Tribolium castaneum: one gene and its partner. The protein of the gene in region 2 interacts with the protein of the main gene of each other region in a biochemical or structural test. Links are inferred from orthologs where the notes say so. Each region holds a gene or a part of one and is shown on either strand. Other genes may lie near its edges.

Region 1 (7,358 bases), on a different chromosome or scaffold from region 2:
CTCATGCATAATTAAGTGCCATAATAACATGATTCATGAGCTTTAATTGGTTAACACAGAACCGAGCAAAAAAGCGAGTTCACTCAACCGTTGATCACATGCCGTTCTTCCTCCTATCGTGCAACCATTTTAGTCACTTATCGCGAGATTCATTTAATAATTTTCCAAAACAAAAGTTCGTTGCCTTGGCGGAGGGTGCCGACCGCGAAATTTCACTTCCATAATAGCGAAGTGGGTCGAATTTTCTTGGTACACCCTTAATGTAATTGCACGCCCACGAGTTGAAATTTCGAAAGAGTCATTAGCATTGTGAATGAAAATTCACAGAGATGGTATAATCAAAACAAAAATAACTATGGTTTCGAGTGGAGAGAAAGCCGAGAAATGCATGTTGGTCTAAACCATAATCGGTTTATTAGCACCCTCCATCAAATGTCGTTGGCATCAATTGACGGCTGTGTCAATTTACTGACACAGTTCGATGGGACAATGGGATTGGGTTGGGTCATGGTGCGGTTTTCTAATGCAGATTAGAGACTTTTTCTCGCATTTTTAATTGTACTTTTGACATATCTGGTGCAGAACTAGATTTAAATCAGACACGGTTTTTCTGTGTCGTAACGCACAAGTACTGTCGCACAAGCTGTCCCAAAAAATTATACTACGAGAAATGTTTTATTAAATGATTTTGCTTTAACAACTGGTTTTATTCCAATCCCTTCCTCCAAAAAATGCAACTTATTATCAAAAGATACAGTCAATATTATAAAGATTCTCGAAACTATGGAGCAATCGATCAGATAAACTAATCATTCCAGTGAAAGTTATTAATAAAATTTTAACAGCTCGTTACTTTTATGCACTAATATGCAACTGATAATGAAACTGGGTTGACAGGTGGCAAACTTTTAATTGTTGTAAAAATAATTATGGAAATAAAAAATAATGAGCTGCAGTAATTCTACCCAAACTGCAGGATTCTGGCCCATTTATTTCAGTTTACGCAACAGCCGGCAGGACCTCCATTACTTTTTTTCATCTCTCCGACCATTTAACCACTTAAAATATACACGCAATATAATCCCAAACAAACAAATCCACTTTCTCTCTTTTGTTCAGACACGTCGATTGTAATAAAACTTCCATCTCGATTCGGAAACCCATCGTCCAGTCTGCTATAGTTCACGCACAAAGTGCGTAGGTTTATTTACAAACAGCCTAATTATAATGCACGCTCGAGATGTTGAAACGATTTGCATAAAAATTCGCTTTATTAAGACACGCAGGAAAAAAACAATACCAACTACGACATGTTTTATTTATCATATTAATTTGCATTTTAATCGCGGTTTAATTACAATATTCAATTTATATTTCATCGGCCAAACATTCCGGGTATTTTATTTTTTCTTTCAATCATCCGGTCGAAAAATTGGCATAATCATCGTCGATTTTCTAGCGAAATGGGTTAAAATGGCGCCGGAATACAATGCAAGACCGCCGTCATTTCCGCATGACATCAATTTTTAATATGTGCAATTACGACGCGTTTTTCGATCGACATGTAACGGTCCGTCGCCGACTTCCACGCTTTACCGACCAACGAAATCTATCGATTTCGATCTGTCAACTTTCACGACGACAAAAACCTCACCCGGATAGGTCATTAATAAACTTTTCGTAATCGCAGGAAATTAAGACGATATAGAGTGCAATAATTACATGACTTAAGTCGGTTACTACCGGCTCGGATTGTATAATTTCATTAGCGCTGGAAAAAAATGATAGCAAGGCGGGAAAGTCGACGAAATGCGATAAGAATTCGTTATTACCTCATGAGAATAACTCCTGAAAGGTTGAATTAACGTCGGAATTTTCAGATTCTGCAAATGTCGTTACGTAACATTCCATTACGGCCATTTTAATTACTTATACGCTTACAAGGTTGTGTTGCAATTCCGCGGCCTCCTAAATTGCTTTTCGACTTATCTACATATAGACAACTTTTTTCCATCTATCCATATTTGAGAAGACGCAAAAAGCGAGACGTGAGGATGAGCAGTCGTGAGAATATCAACATTGAAATTACTTCCTTATCATAAAGTTAACTCGAGATTAATGAGAATTGCTCCCAAGTGGACGAAAAATATTCAACACGTCTAAGATGATTCCCGTTTTGTATTGATTCAAACGACACGTGCACGTAAATGATTATCTCTGGCAAATTATCAACCAAGCGATAAAAAACATAAACATAAATCCGAGATTAATAACACCACACTTTTTGTTCTTTTTGGTGAAAATCTCTGCTTGACGTCCTCACCCATAAATTTTAATTATTAATGAGAGAAAAGAAAGATTAGACCTGTATCAAATCGCATAAATTGCCAGAAGCCAAGAAAATGTCAACATTATTCATTTCATTTTCTAAATATGGCTCGCTTTAAAAAATCAAGCAAATACTAGCATGTTATCAAGTGTCACGTTAATCCGAATTGAAAAATCGGAAACTCTCTTAATTCAAAACATCAACAACATAGAAAATCACAATTTGGAAAACAATGAAAAAAATCGGGGTTAATTTAAAAGTTTTAAAATTCCTTTTTTATTTGAAAACAGTTTCCATTTGCAAGATTTATTCATTTAAATATTGACATAATACATACATGTTTGAATACATATCTACACTTTATTTCTTTTTACGTGAAAACAAACGTGATGCTTGCTTTTTATATTTCGTAAATATTTGTGGCCTCCGCAATGCCAGTTATTTCATATTTTAATTTTTTTACTATAATACGTATTGTGTTTCTTCAATTTCACTTCAAAAACTTGCAACAATTGTAAAATGTATGCATATCTATTAAAATCAAATTAAAACTTTTCCGAACTTTCATTAAGCAAACATTACTTATGCTAATGCAAACATAAAGGGAGACAACATTTACATTTCTAGTCAAAATCTCACTTGTAATTTTTGTGCTGTAAAATGCTCATTTCTCCAAGCATTGACATGCCAATTCTGGCCAATAGCTAAAAATAGTCTCTACACACAAAAACGGTGTCAATGTGCGGAATTTTTCTAAAATTATATCAGAGGAAAGTCATTAAAATAATTTCAAGAATTAATTAGATAAACACATCCAGTTTATTACTCACCAAGAAATAATTAATTAAATGCCATTACTACGATAGATCGCCAATTTCTCATACAGTTTGCATAAATTCCTAGTCACATTTCCGCATGAAAAACTGTAAATTAGTACTTTGTGTTGTTTTTAGAATCGTACGTTGAAATCCGCTCCACATTTTCATTATCACAAAACAAACCGAAAACCACAAACAGAAAACACAAAGTGGACTGCTTGCCGTCTTAACAATCTCGTTATCACACTTTTTAAACAGAAAACCTGGGCGTGAAAGTACCAAATTTCATCAATTATCAATTTTTTGTAATTAGATAACAACGGTAACCCGATCTATGCCAGGATTAACTCCTCAAAAACCTAATCCCTTTAACAACATGACTCATATAATCCGTTTTTTAGACGGAATTTTCTCCAGCCCCTCGATCAATGAATTGCAAATCGGCCCCCGAACCGGTCCAACGTCTATTGATTCGTTTTCCTGGTGCCGGAGGCGCCCAAAAAACCCTTCCTGTGTAAACACATACTCACTTTGGGCCTAAGACGCACCCTTGGGGGCTTCCACGAAGTGTTTCCGTTGGCGCTGCCGCCGCCGCCGCCGGAGAACAGGATGCTCTCCCATGGGGACGGCGGGTTCGGGGTCCTCGGGGGCGGCAAAATGTACAACATTGCTCACACGAATCACCAAGACATTGCGTACAATGGGGTTGTTTAACCGTTTTTTCACGACACTCGCACCGAGACTGCTTGCAGCAAACTGACAGAACAGCTGCGAGTACGATGGGAGAGCTGCGGCACGACAACCGCACGATACTAAAAACCCTGGTACCGTTATTGTCCAACTTGGGAATAAACGGGTCGGAAAAGGTGACAGCAATGGGTTTTATGCCTTTTTTGGTAGCGGATTTGAGAAAATGACCAAAACCGAACCGTCGGGGCAATTTCACGTTATCAAAACACGGGGATATGTTTGTTTACTTTGGCTGACAAGAACCCTATTATTCACTCGGAGATTAGATAAGATCTTGCTCAAATATAACCTTAATTTGAATCTCGGTGTTTTTAAGTCTCACAGTCGGGAAACTTCGCGGTTCTAAATATAAACAATGACAAGGGTTGGAAATATTTGACTTACGAGACTCGTCGGCGAATTGTTTGTGCTGGGGCTCCGCCGCACCGTCACTAGGGCCATTCTGGACTTTTCACTCGTAACACCCACATGAGTACGGTACTGTGCACGTTTTTTCAAAAAAAATAATAAACTGATATTTTTGACAATTACGAAAAGACAACAAACGTCACAATAAGCCCGTGTTCAATACTTTCAGTTCGACCAATCACATCGCCCGATTCAGAAATTAACCAATCGGCGACCAGAACCACTCAGATGTTAGCCAGGCGTCCTCTACCGGCCAACTCACCCAACTTGCCATTTAAACGTCAAAAGTCAAAAAATAATGTCGAAAATATTTACCCCCACGAACCAAATCCGGCTAACAAACATCGCCGTGGTCCGCATGAAAAAGGGCGGAAAACGTTTCGAGATCGCCTGCTACCGGAACAAAGTTGTGTCATGGAGAAACCAAGTGTAAGTAGAGCGAGTCCAGGATTGCACAATTTGACTTGATTTTCAGTGAAAAGGACATTGATGAGGTGTTGCAATCCCACACCGTCTTCGCCAACGTTTCCAAAGGCCAAGTTGCGAAAAAAGAGGATCTAGTCAAGGCGTTCAATACCGAGGATCAGACAGAAATCTGCAAAGAAATCCTCCTGAAGGGCGAACTGCAAGTCTCCGACAAAGAGCGGCAAAGCCAAATCGACCAACTGTTCAAAGATATCGCAACGACGGTCGCCGAAAAATGCATAAACCCCGAACTGAAGCGCCCGTACCCCGTCACAATCATAGAAAAAGCCATGAAAGATGCACACTATTCAGTCAAGCCCAACCAATCGGCTAAACAGCAGGCGCTTCAGGTGATTAAGCTGCTGAAGGAGCAAATCCCGCTCGAACGAGCCAAGATGCGGCTTAAGGTCATATCGAAGGGAAAAGTCGCCAAAAAAATGAAGGACAAAATCGGCAAGTTCGAGAGCGTGGAAGTGGAGAAAGAGGACCGCGATGACGACCAACTAACGCTAATTTTTTTGGTGGACCCTGGGCACTTCAAGGAAATCGACACGATGGTGCAAGCGGAAATTAAGAACGGCTCCTACCTTGAGGTATTATCATACAAAGAAATGGCCTCAGGTCTTGAACAGTTGTAACAGTTTTGTTGATATTTTTTTATTAAAACTTTGTAAACTTTCCTATGTACAAAATGTAATAAATTATTGAGCTTGGACTTTCTCGTCGGGTTTGGGGATATAGATCGACTCCGTCCTCTTGTCTAACTTAGCGGCCATTCGTGAGACGATAAACAAAAAGTCCGAGAGTCTATTGAGGTAAATAAGGGCCTCGTTGTGCAAATGCCCTTCGTTCACCAGAGGAACGATCACGCGCTCAGTCCGGCGACAAACCGCCCGTGCAACGTGCAGAGACGCACTCGGGATGCCGCCCCCCTGAAACCCACAATTACCACACCCGAAAACGCACCAAATCAATTACAGGAATAATGTACTGTTCAGGCGGCGGCAACTGCTTCGAGTATTCCAAGATCCAGTCTTCCAGCTCTTTGGTGTAGTTTTTCGGGATGATTTTCTTCGCCTGGTCGTTCGAGCGCGAAATCGCCGTGCTTAAATCTATGATTATTGTCTGAATTCGCTTGAGTTTGTCTGAGTATTCGTGCTCCGCCTCTTGTGCATACTCGCGGGCCAGGCCTATGTGGCTTAGCAGCTCCTCGGCGGCCCCGATAGCCTCGAAGATCTTTGAGTCTTTGGGTAGAGTATCAGAAGTGAGGGTTTTGGACGTGCCACGGTCACCGTCACGATTAAAGTACTCCTGAGGGGGCTTCCTAAACCCAATTAAAAATAAACGGGCACGGGACCCCCACAACTTACTTATCACAATATTGGCGCAAAAGTGTGCTCACTTGGGGCCGGAATAAACGGCGGAAGACCATCGTTTGCTGGGAAATTGACGGATGGTGAGGTTAGGGTGGCGGTGTCAAAAGTTACGTCACTCACACCCGGAAAACTACGATAATTAGCGCAAATCAAGCAAATGCGTTCACAAGCCAAGCTCTACCAGCATTTTAATTAATTGCGAACGGTCCGATTTGATTATTTCATCAGTGGTGTCACGGGTTCAATTTTCGGCGAACATAACCCCAAACTATGTCCAAGACTTGCATGCAATTCTTTCGCTTTAGTCACTGCACCAGTAAAGCCGATACGTCCCCGAAGGCCCTATACCGGCACTTGATACGCCAGTGTGAGAAACTGCCCGAAGGGCCCCAAAAATATTACAAGTTTATGATCAAACAGGTAAGTAAGTTCGTGCCAAGTTGGCGGAGTCACCCAAATATTCGATTTAAGAGTTTCAAACAGCACGTTAATGAAACCGACCCCCAACGCATCCAACAAATCGTCGCAAGGTCTTACGAGGACGCTGACTGGGTCTTGAAAAAAGTGAGTTGCGTAAGTGGTTTAGCAAAAAACGAGTTCAATTTCTAGTATCTTGGGAAACAGTAACATGGAGGAGGTCCCCCTGGTCAGGAGTTGCACTCAAGTCCCTTTGGAAAATTTCTGGAAGGCTGTTTTAGTTTACCACAATAGGCCCCACGTGATCAATCGCAAATTAGCAGCGATTGTGCCCCTTATCTTTTGCAAAATCACACTCAACTGCCCTGGCGTTAAACGCCTGAGGGACGTTTTCACCTGGGAGTCCCTCATATACGAAGTTAGAAAGTTACCCGACTTGTCCCAAATCACTCCACAATTTATTAAAAATATCACGGAAATTTACGACAAAAAAGCCACAGTTGAGGAAACGGCGCTAGAGACATTGGATAATTGTTACGAGGGCACTTTTCTATCAATTCGACAGTTACTTTCGCGCAAAAACAACGAAAAATGCCTTGAAATCGCAATTTTTGATAAAGACACCCAAACTGTTACTTTTCTCGCCGCTCAAGAACAAACCAGTCCGATCATAGCCCCCCGATTTCCCTACCACATCCACTTGACCAAATCGGGACACCTGACTATCATTTTGAACGAATTTGAAATTGCCGAAACGGCAAGTGCTGAATGGCTTGCCGATAAATTATTTCCAAA
Region 2 (8,380 bases):
CTTTCTGAACTACTCGATTCTGGCGGTTGCATTTTGCAAACTTACATGGTGACATTTTTGACACGGAAGCTTTTGTGTGTGTCACTGTCAAAAAAATGTTTATTTTCAGAGTGGCAAATACGCGGAGCCTCCTTTCCTGTCCGCGGAAAGCAAGCGCCTCATCGCCTCCATGCTCCAAGTGGACCCCAAGAAACGCATCACCGTGCAAGAGCTCCTCTCACACCCTTGGCTCACGTTGGGTATCCTGGACCCAGTCGATTACACCTCAATTGATTTGAGAAAGTACGACAAGGATTGTGTCGACGTTATGGCATCGTATTACAACGTAAACCCGGAAAGAATGTGGCGCCACTTGAAAAAATGGAAATATGATTATCACACCGCTACGTATTTTTTGTTGCTTTCGAGGAAAAAAAGAGGGGCTGTTTTGAGACTGGTGTCATTGCCGGGGCAACTACACTTGAAAATGCGGTTGGAGGAGACTCCGCGTAAAGAAAGGCCCCAGTTGAAACCCTTGGTGATAACTCAAGGACAGCAATTAGGTGCAAAAGAGGGACAGACGCCGTACTACGACTGTATCGAGAATATCGAAAATTGCAAACCGGCGAGAAATGATAATCTGGATAGTCCCAATGTGTTTGTTGAACCTGAGAAGCCCCCAAGCGTACGCAAACCTCAGAAGAGGGTGAGGAGCCCCACTTTGGGAGAGGAAAGTTCGCCAGGTACGATTTTTTTATTTTATCACTCTTGTGCAATAGAAGTTTCCAAATCCATTTCCACTATGTTTTCAGCGGCGCAACAGCAAAATTTTCTTTTGTTGTTTACGTTCTTTTTATCTTATGTTACTTTCCTGTGTTTCGTATATTTTTTTAGTATTAGAGGCAAGTTGCAAATTTTTGGTCACATCTTTTAATTTATGTTTAGTTGTTTTGTTTATTCGTTTTGTTCATTTGTCTGTATTTTTTCAATTCTGTTTTTCAAGGTGTTTGTTCGACAATTTACCACTCTTACGCGGTAAAGTAGTTCTTCTAACTCTTAGTTCTCTTTTCTTTTGTATCACATTATTTGAATTGTTATTAAGCTCGTCTTATTTAAGGTGTTTTTATTTTGTAGTGGAGTGGTTGTTTTATTTTATAGTGCATTTTTTTATCATGTGTGTCCACTTATTATCCCTCCCTCGATTTCTTCAAAGACACAGTTCGATCTCGAAAATCCAAACCTACTATAATCTGAACAGATTCTTTGACTTTTGTAAAACAAACTATTCCAAACAATATTTCCCGAGAAATATTATGTAGATTGTTAAATAATCTTGTAAAAACAACGTAATGTTGTGGTTGCATAATACAAATAGAAAATTTTGAATTTAGAAGTTGCTACAAAAGGCAATTTTCATTGTAAAAGAAGGAATTACTTATTTTCAAATAACATTTTTGCACGAGATATCAAGTAGCGTTTAGATCATCTCGGAACCAAATTGTTTAATTAATTTTAAATTAAACTAGTTAATTACTTCGAAAAAGGAAAGGAACTTTGACCACTAAACTTTTGATAAATTGAGAAAACTTGACTAAAATTTTCACGTCAAACATGGGAAAAATAAAATATATAAATTACTGTTTTTTACTGAGTGCTATAGATGATTTAATGCCTATCTGCCTGTAATTTTTGTGTGTCCTGTGCAGTCATTTACTTCATTGCTCTTAAAACTTAAACGTTTATTAAAAAAATCACATGTAATTATTAAAAAAAAATTAAACGCAAAATCTTAAATATTTCCCAAAAGGTGGGTTTTTGAAAAAAACACGATAAATAGCAGGTAAATCTTCTGTTTAAAACAACATAGACAACATATTGAATTTTGTATCCATCAAGCGAATCAGAAGTTGCTAAACAAAAATTTTAAAGTTATCCACTTTTCCAACAGGAAGCAAAAAATAACCCTTAATCTGACGAAATTTTGAAAGTCAAGGCTAAATTTTGAGGTATTTTATATAATTTTGTCGAGAATTTTTATATGATCATTATAGTAAATATTTTTTTACAAATCAAAATAAGTCTCATGTTGTATTTGGTTGGATTATCGAGGTTGCACTGTATCACTTTATTTTTTGTTTTTGTTTTATATATTTTGTGAAAGTATAGTCATCCCCAGCCCCCAAAACAAAGCCTAACATCTTACAAAAATATTTATTCACGTGTTAGTTTCACTTTTATTTTTTCTTATTGAGCGTCCTTTGTTTCTCTCCATGCACGACCACCTGTTCCTCCACGTGCAACCCTTTCCGTTTCCTTATCGCTTTTCTAAGTTTGGTGGCCCTGATAGCCGACTCCACATTCACATCTTCCTCTTCTTCGTCGTCCTCCACCGGCTCGTAAAACGGATCACCGTCGATAATCTCAAAATGACTAAACTTCAAAGTAGGAATCGCTTGCCCAGAAGTCGTTTTGCGCATTTCGTTAGCAAAACCCGTACTTTCAACAACCGGAATCTGGGCCTTAACCAGAAAACTTTTCTCTTGCTCGTCCATTCCGACAGCGTCCAGAACTTTCCCGTGCCGTTTACTCACAACCGAGTAGACTTTTCCTAAAATATTTGTGTTGACTTGAATACTGGTCGTAAACATCGGTTCCATGAGTCTCTGCTGTTGTTTTTCGAACGCTTCGCGAAACGCTGAACTCAGAGCCGATTCGATATTAACACTGGTTTTGGTCGTCCCGTCCAAGCTCTCGTCATGACTGACTTCAAAGTTTTTCACCAGGAAAACACAGTTTTTCAGTGGTTCTTCACACAGCGGGCCAGCTTTGCAGCACGAATTGAAGGCGTTCACCACAAATTGGTCGAAACACGACCGCGGGTCTTTCTCGTCCAAAGTTTCGTAAATATTTCGCGCGTAATTACTGGTCCCGTTGATTAGTAAATTTATACTGTCAGGCATGCGGCCCACGCTCCAGACCTTATTTTCGATTTTGGCCCAAATGCCTTTACACGAAGCGAAAACCGAGCTTAATTGCTCGCTCACATGTTTAAGTGAGACGTTAGTGACGTCGCTTTTGAACATTTTTAAAGTTGGGGGTTTCAAGTCTTCAGGTTTTGACGCACGTTTGGCGAACAGTTCGAATCCGCTGATTTGTTGGTGTTCTTCGATTGAGTGCAACAGTTTGTAGTTCTTTTCGATTTCGTTGGCTATAACGTCCGGTAAAGCGACCACAACTACGGTTAAACGAATCTGGGCCACTTCTACTGTGACCGAATTCTCCAGGTCTTTCTTTAAGTCGCTTTTGTTGCTTCCGTGGGTCACAGTTTCCCGCAGTGAGACCATCGGACTGGAAACGTTGATTTCAATTTTGGCAAATTTCGTCGTCAAATCTTCCAGACATTTAGCAAGGTGTACGTCCCCTGCTGTCAGTAAAACATACTCTCCTGATTCTTCTATTACGACCTGGACGCAAGAATCACTTTGCATTAGTACGCGCAAACCTTGTCTTAAAATTGGAAGGTCTTTCGGATTGGTTGGTTCGATGGCGTTTCGGACTATAGGGGGCTGTGATGGGTGTTCAATAAATGCGACACACTGTAGAGTTGTTGATAGGGTTGCTGTGCGGACTATAGCCGACTCCAGCCCCCCGATACCACACACATTTCCAGCCGTTATTTCATCAACTAGGACCAACTCACGACCAAAAAGCATATAAAGTTCTTTAACTTTCACTAATTGGGCACACGTATCACTTGTTTTGCCTTCTTGGGGGACGTATTGAGGTGACAAGACGTAGATTTCTTGGCCCGTTTTGAGACAACCGGTGAAAACTCGCGCCAGTGCTATTATAGAAAATTCATCCCGAGGTTTCTCTTCTTCGCAATTTTTTTCCTTTTCAGTGTGGTTTGTTTTTTCGCCATTTTCCTGCTTGGGTTCAGTATTTTTAGGTCTCGGCTTGGGGATAAAAACTTTAGGTTTGTTTTGTGACAAGTTCTTATTGTCGACGCAAAACATTTTCGAAACATATGCAGTACACGGTGTGGAGTCGTCAGAGGAACACGATTTGAACACCGTGATTAGTTTTTCGAGACAATTTTTGTGAAACTCGTTTTCGCAAAATTTGTTAAAATCGAGGAGATATTTAATTTTGTCTTCGTGCATGTTTGAGGGTGGCGGGATAATTTTCATACATTGGTGTAAAATGACATCGGCAAGGGGGCTCCAAGCTTGCATTATGGCCTTGACTTGGGTTTTGGGGTCCGTGTGGTTCATTTCTCGCGTCACGTTCGTAATGTTCAGTTTCTGGACAATGGTGCCAACTTTATCCCTTTGCATTTGGATGACTATGGTTGAGTAGATGTGGAATATCGTTTTGATGCACAGTTGCACAAATAAATTAGTTTTGCCCTTTTCGATCGCTCCTAGTTTAACTGTGTTTGTTTTACCGTCGACGTAAGCATCGAAATTCCATAATTTCGTATTCAGTGAGTCTACGGTTTCACTTTTGATGGCATTCACAAACATCGAGGCTATTTGTTTGAGGGTGAAGCCCCACCCATCGATGGCACTTGCAAAAATCACGTTTCCGGCGTCCGGTGAAAACAAAAGTCCGGTGTCTTCAATATCGACGTCAGGATTGCAATATTCGTATTGGTACAGTTCCGCAACGATCGCATTGCAGTCCTCAATCGCGTGCAAAATCGACTGGAAAATGTCGTTCACTTCCTTGTGCAACTCCACGATTAATTTATCTATTTTGTTTAGAATTAGTATCATTTTGCAGCGTTCTGTGAACGCCTGTTTGATGGCTTCGCGTGTTTGTACGCACACGCCTTCGACTAAGTCGACCACGACTAGGGCCCCGTCGCATACGCGTAGGGCTGCGCCCACCTCGGAGGAGAAATCGATGTGTCCGGGTGTATCAATTAAATTCAACAAAAGCGGCTTTTCTTCTTTCGTGTCTTCATCTTCGACTAAGTTTATTAAAGACACTGCGCTACTTTTCATGGTAATTCCACGTTCTTGCTCGTCCAGTCGGTCGTCTAAATACCTGACCAGACCAGCCATGCGTTTGCTTACTAAACGATTCGTGGCTAGTAGCGAATCGGCGATTGTGGTCTTGCCGTGGTCCACGTGTGCCAAAATGCATACATTTCGTATGCACGATGTGTTTTTCATGCATTCTTGGAGGACTTCGAGTGGGGCACCCATGCTGAAAATTGTAATTTGTGAAGGTGGTGCTAGGAGTAGGTGTGTTCACGAAGGGGTTAGTTGTCGTCTGAAGTACTTACTTGAGTGAAATTGCGGTTTAAAACGGTGAAATGTGTGGAAAATGAAGGGTGAAAAGTTGAGGTTAAGTCACATTTCAGGCAGCTGTCAGAAATAAAGGAGGTTTAGAGCGAGTTCGGGTTAAATAATGGCCGGTTTACGCGTTACGCAAGTTGTTGAAAGTGGTTGAAATTTTCGAATTGGCCTCTTTATTTTACTTTAACATTTTTTTATGCTATTTTATAATGATCAGTAAGCAATTAACATTGTCTACAGAACACCTAGAATAATAAAGTGAAGAGTAAGACTTTACAGGACTTTCTAAATTCGTCAATAAAGAGACGTACACTTGTGTAATGTTGGTTGCATACAATTTCAAATTTTTGTTCAAAAAGTTAAGTGTTTTGCACAACTTTATGAGACCTGCGTCTAATGTACGCATCCAAATATATAAGAGCCTGAAGTCACTAGAAATAATTTATTATTTAATTTTTAGAAGCCGCTGATAATACTAGTCAAACTAATCACTGTTTCAATAATAGTCATGTTTGGTTTTTTTTCAGAAACAGTTATTATGTGTTCTATCAAGAGACGGAATGAATATGATTCTAATCTATCTATCTTAATCAGTTACTCAAAAATTAACTAACAACGTTGTACCTAATTTTTGAAGGGGTGAACAAATTAGAGAAGACTCCAATTTTTCCAAAATTTGTAATTGACTTATGTGAAATGCTCTTCATATTCGTAATAAAAAAACAGCTTAAAAATTATCTCTTTCTCCTAACGAGTGATAGGATGTAATTTCTAAATCTTATGAAATGTTACGATTAACAAAAAATAAACAAATAAAAATTATAATTTCTACTTCTTGGACCCTGTTGTTTACTTGCATAACATTATTTTTTTATTTAAACTACTTTAAACCTTACTCTCGAATACTATGTCAAAAAGATTAATAAGGTTTTATTTACTTTTTGAATTCTTCAAGCAATTTGTAATCATCTCTAATGCAATTCTAAAAACTACTTATGATAAGTATAATCAGTAAAAATATAATTTAGTTGGAGATTCAAGTTCTCATTGCTTCTTTTATTAAAACCAAGAAGAGTCATACATATATTTTGGTTAATGTTTATAATTTTCTCAATAATTAAATATTGGGCAATAAAATAATAGATAAGGTCAAGAAGTCAGAATATTAATTATTTTGTAGTTAATTAACTGTAAACTGATTTACGAGTACATTGTTTTATTGTCAAAGAAATCGTGAAAATCTTTGTTGCAATTTAGCTAAAGAAGCAATAAATTAACTCTTTGAGTTCTGTTGGCGTCTTGGCCAAATCTTTCCCGGAGGTAATTTAATTGCATAAATTCCGAGTAAACAGGAGATACATCACGAAACAGGCGACAGCAAAGTAGTTAAAACTTTAAATGACTGCATCTTAGTATAGCCTTAAGAGTGCAGATGTGTATATCAGTGTCCAGTTCTTCAAGGGCTGTTACCTCCTTCTTTATGGCTTAAAAGTCTTAAATTAGTTCAAGTTTGCACAAGTGTTCTAAGCACTAATAAGAAAGTGCCGGAAAATATCGTCGAAGCAGTTGGTGAAGTGGTCTCTGGGGTGGCATCGCTCACCCGACCCACGTTAAAATATCACCGTTTTAACTTTGTTACAACGCGACCCTTTATGATGTTGCTGTTATAGCGGCACTATAAAGGCGAATGGGATTTATCCTCTTCCATTAAGATATTCAATTCGATGATTTTATTTGAATTTTCAGTGCCCAGCAAAAAATCCACAACGGAGAGATCTACGCCGAAAACTCCAGAAAGGTGAGTGAGTCGAAAAATTGCTCGCTAACGAGCCGAATTTTTGCCGTCTAATTGGCATACACCGGTGCGTTTGTCTCCCTGATTAAGCGTTCCGGTCGTGGTAATTGAAGCAGTAAAGTGTCGAGTATATGGACTGTAGGGGTTGTAAACAAGGGGTTGAACGTGCTTGGTGAACCTGCACGCGGTTGCTGCCTCGATGGCCGGACATGTTTACCAGCTTTGATTATCATAAACATCGGTTTCCGGTCCGTTTGGACGCCGCGATTTGTGCACTTTGCGAAAACTGGCCAAGGACGAATCGGGGAGACATTGCGAATTTATTTCATCCACTCATTTTTCGGAAACACAACAGGTCCTTGCCCACACACGCCATAAATGTTTGAACAAAATCTAATAATTTGTATGGATTCAAACGTATCTAATTTTTTAAATACTGCTCAAGTATTTTTTGTAATTTATTGTCTCATTTTCAATGTTATCAGAAAAAAATATATAAATGATGAAATTTACCCACATTTGTATTCATATTACGTTTTAATTTATTAAAAAATAGCAATTCCAGCAAAGGCAAAATAATTTTTCTGGAGTACTCTAGAGTCCTCTATGGCACAAGTTGTCAAAAAATTGAATATGAAGTATTTTTTTGTGGCAACGATTATTCAAGTAGATGGATGCGAGGTGCGAGTTGTAACACAAAAGCTACGATACTTAGTAAAAATTTGTAAAAGTTGCCGCAAAAGCACTTTAGGAGAAATCACTGCTTTATGGATTGCAGAAACATATTCTAATATTCTTCCGAATGTTGTCGCTGATCGATAAAAAAAAGATCTTGTTTTTTATAAGGAAGACACAAATGAATAATAAAATTTTTAACTTTTCTAAATATTTTTTTAAGTAGGCAAAGAAACACATTCACTGCTGCTCAAAATAAAGCATAGAACTCTGTTCTCTGGTACAAGTGGTAGTGGGCATACAATGACTAGTAAAGTCTTATTTACTAAAGAGTCTTAATTTGATGTATACTTTTGAGATTCTAAGTAAGATTCACTAAAACGGTAATACGAAATAAACTAGAGACCTTTTATAAAGACTTTCAAAAATCCGTTAAAATTTGCCAAATAACAAATGGTGTGGTACAATTTGAGTTCATAGATCCTACGGTAAACAGCATTAAATATATTTTGCAAAAACTTTATACCACCCTCTGAAAAATTATGTCTTGAATGTATATTTTTATTTTTCAAAAACATAATGCTTTTTGTCACACAGCATAATTTATGAAATAATAATTTGGTAA

Evidence for each region.
Region 1: the proteins of elongation factor-like GTPase 1 (region 2) and Sbds interact in a biophysical measurement, tested with the Homo sapiens proteins (2 studies listed by BioGRID and IntAct, with this or other methods). The link is inferred for Tribolium castaneum from reciprocal best matches to the Homo sapiens genes EFL1 and SBDS.

What each region holds. Positions count from the first base shown.
Region 1 is NC_087395.1:24,037,288-24,044,645, reverse strand, and holds Sbds (ribosome maturation protein SBDS), read left to right. Parts: upstream 1-4,213; 5' UTR 4,214-4,374; intron 4,375-4,474; 5' UTR 4,475-4,603; coding exon 4,604-4,734; intron 4,735-4,780; coding exon 4,781-5,408; 3' UTR 5,409-5,471; downstream 5,472-7,358. Other genes in the region: uncharacterized protein LOC663281, read right to left, coding at 3,678-3,815; corrinoid adenosyltransferase MMAB, read right to left, coding at 5,472-5,702, 5,749-6,094, 6,141-6,202; LYR motif-containing protein 9, read left to right, coding at 6,417-6,566, 6,618-6,710, 6,756-6,773; probable tRNA (uracil-O(2)-)-methyltransferase, read left to right, coding at 6,775-7,358. UniProt on the Homo sapiens protein: Required for the assembly of mature ribosomes and ribosome biogenesis.
Region 2 is NC_087394.1:28,831,223-28,839,602, reverse strand, and holds elongation factor-like GTPase 1, read right to left. Parts: upstream 5,418-8,380; 5' UTR 5,273-5,417; intron 5,194-5,272; 5' UTR 5,193-5,193; coding exon 2,214-5,192; 3' UTR 2,177-2,213; downstream 1-2,176. Other genes in the region: maternal embryonic leucine zipper kinase, read left to right, coding at 110-722, 7,032-7,083. UniProt on the Homo sapiens protein: GTPase involved in the biogenesis of the 60S ribosomal subunit and translational activation of ribosomes.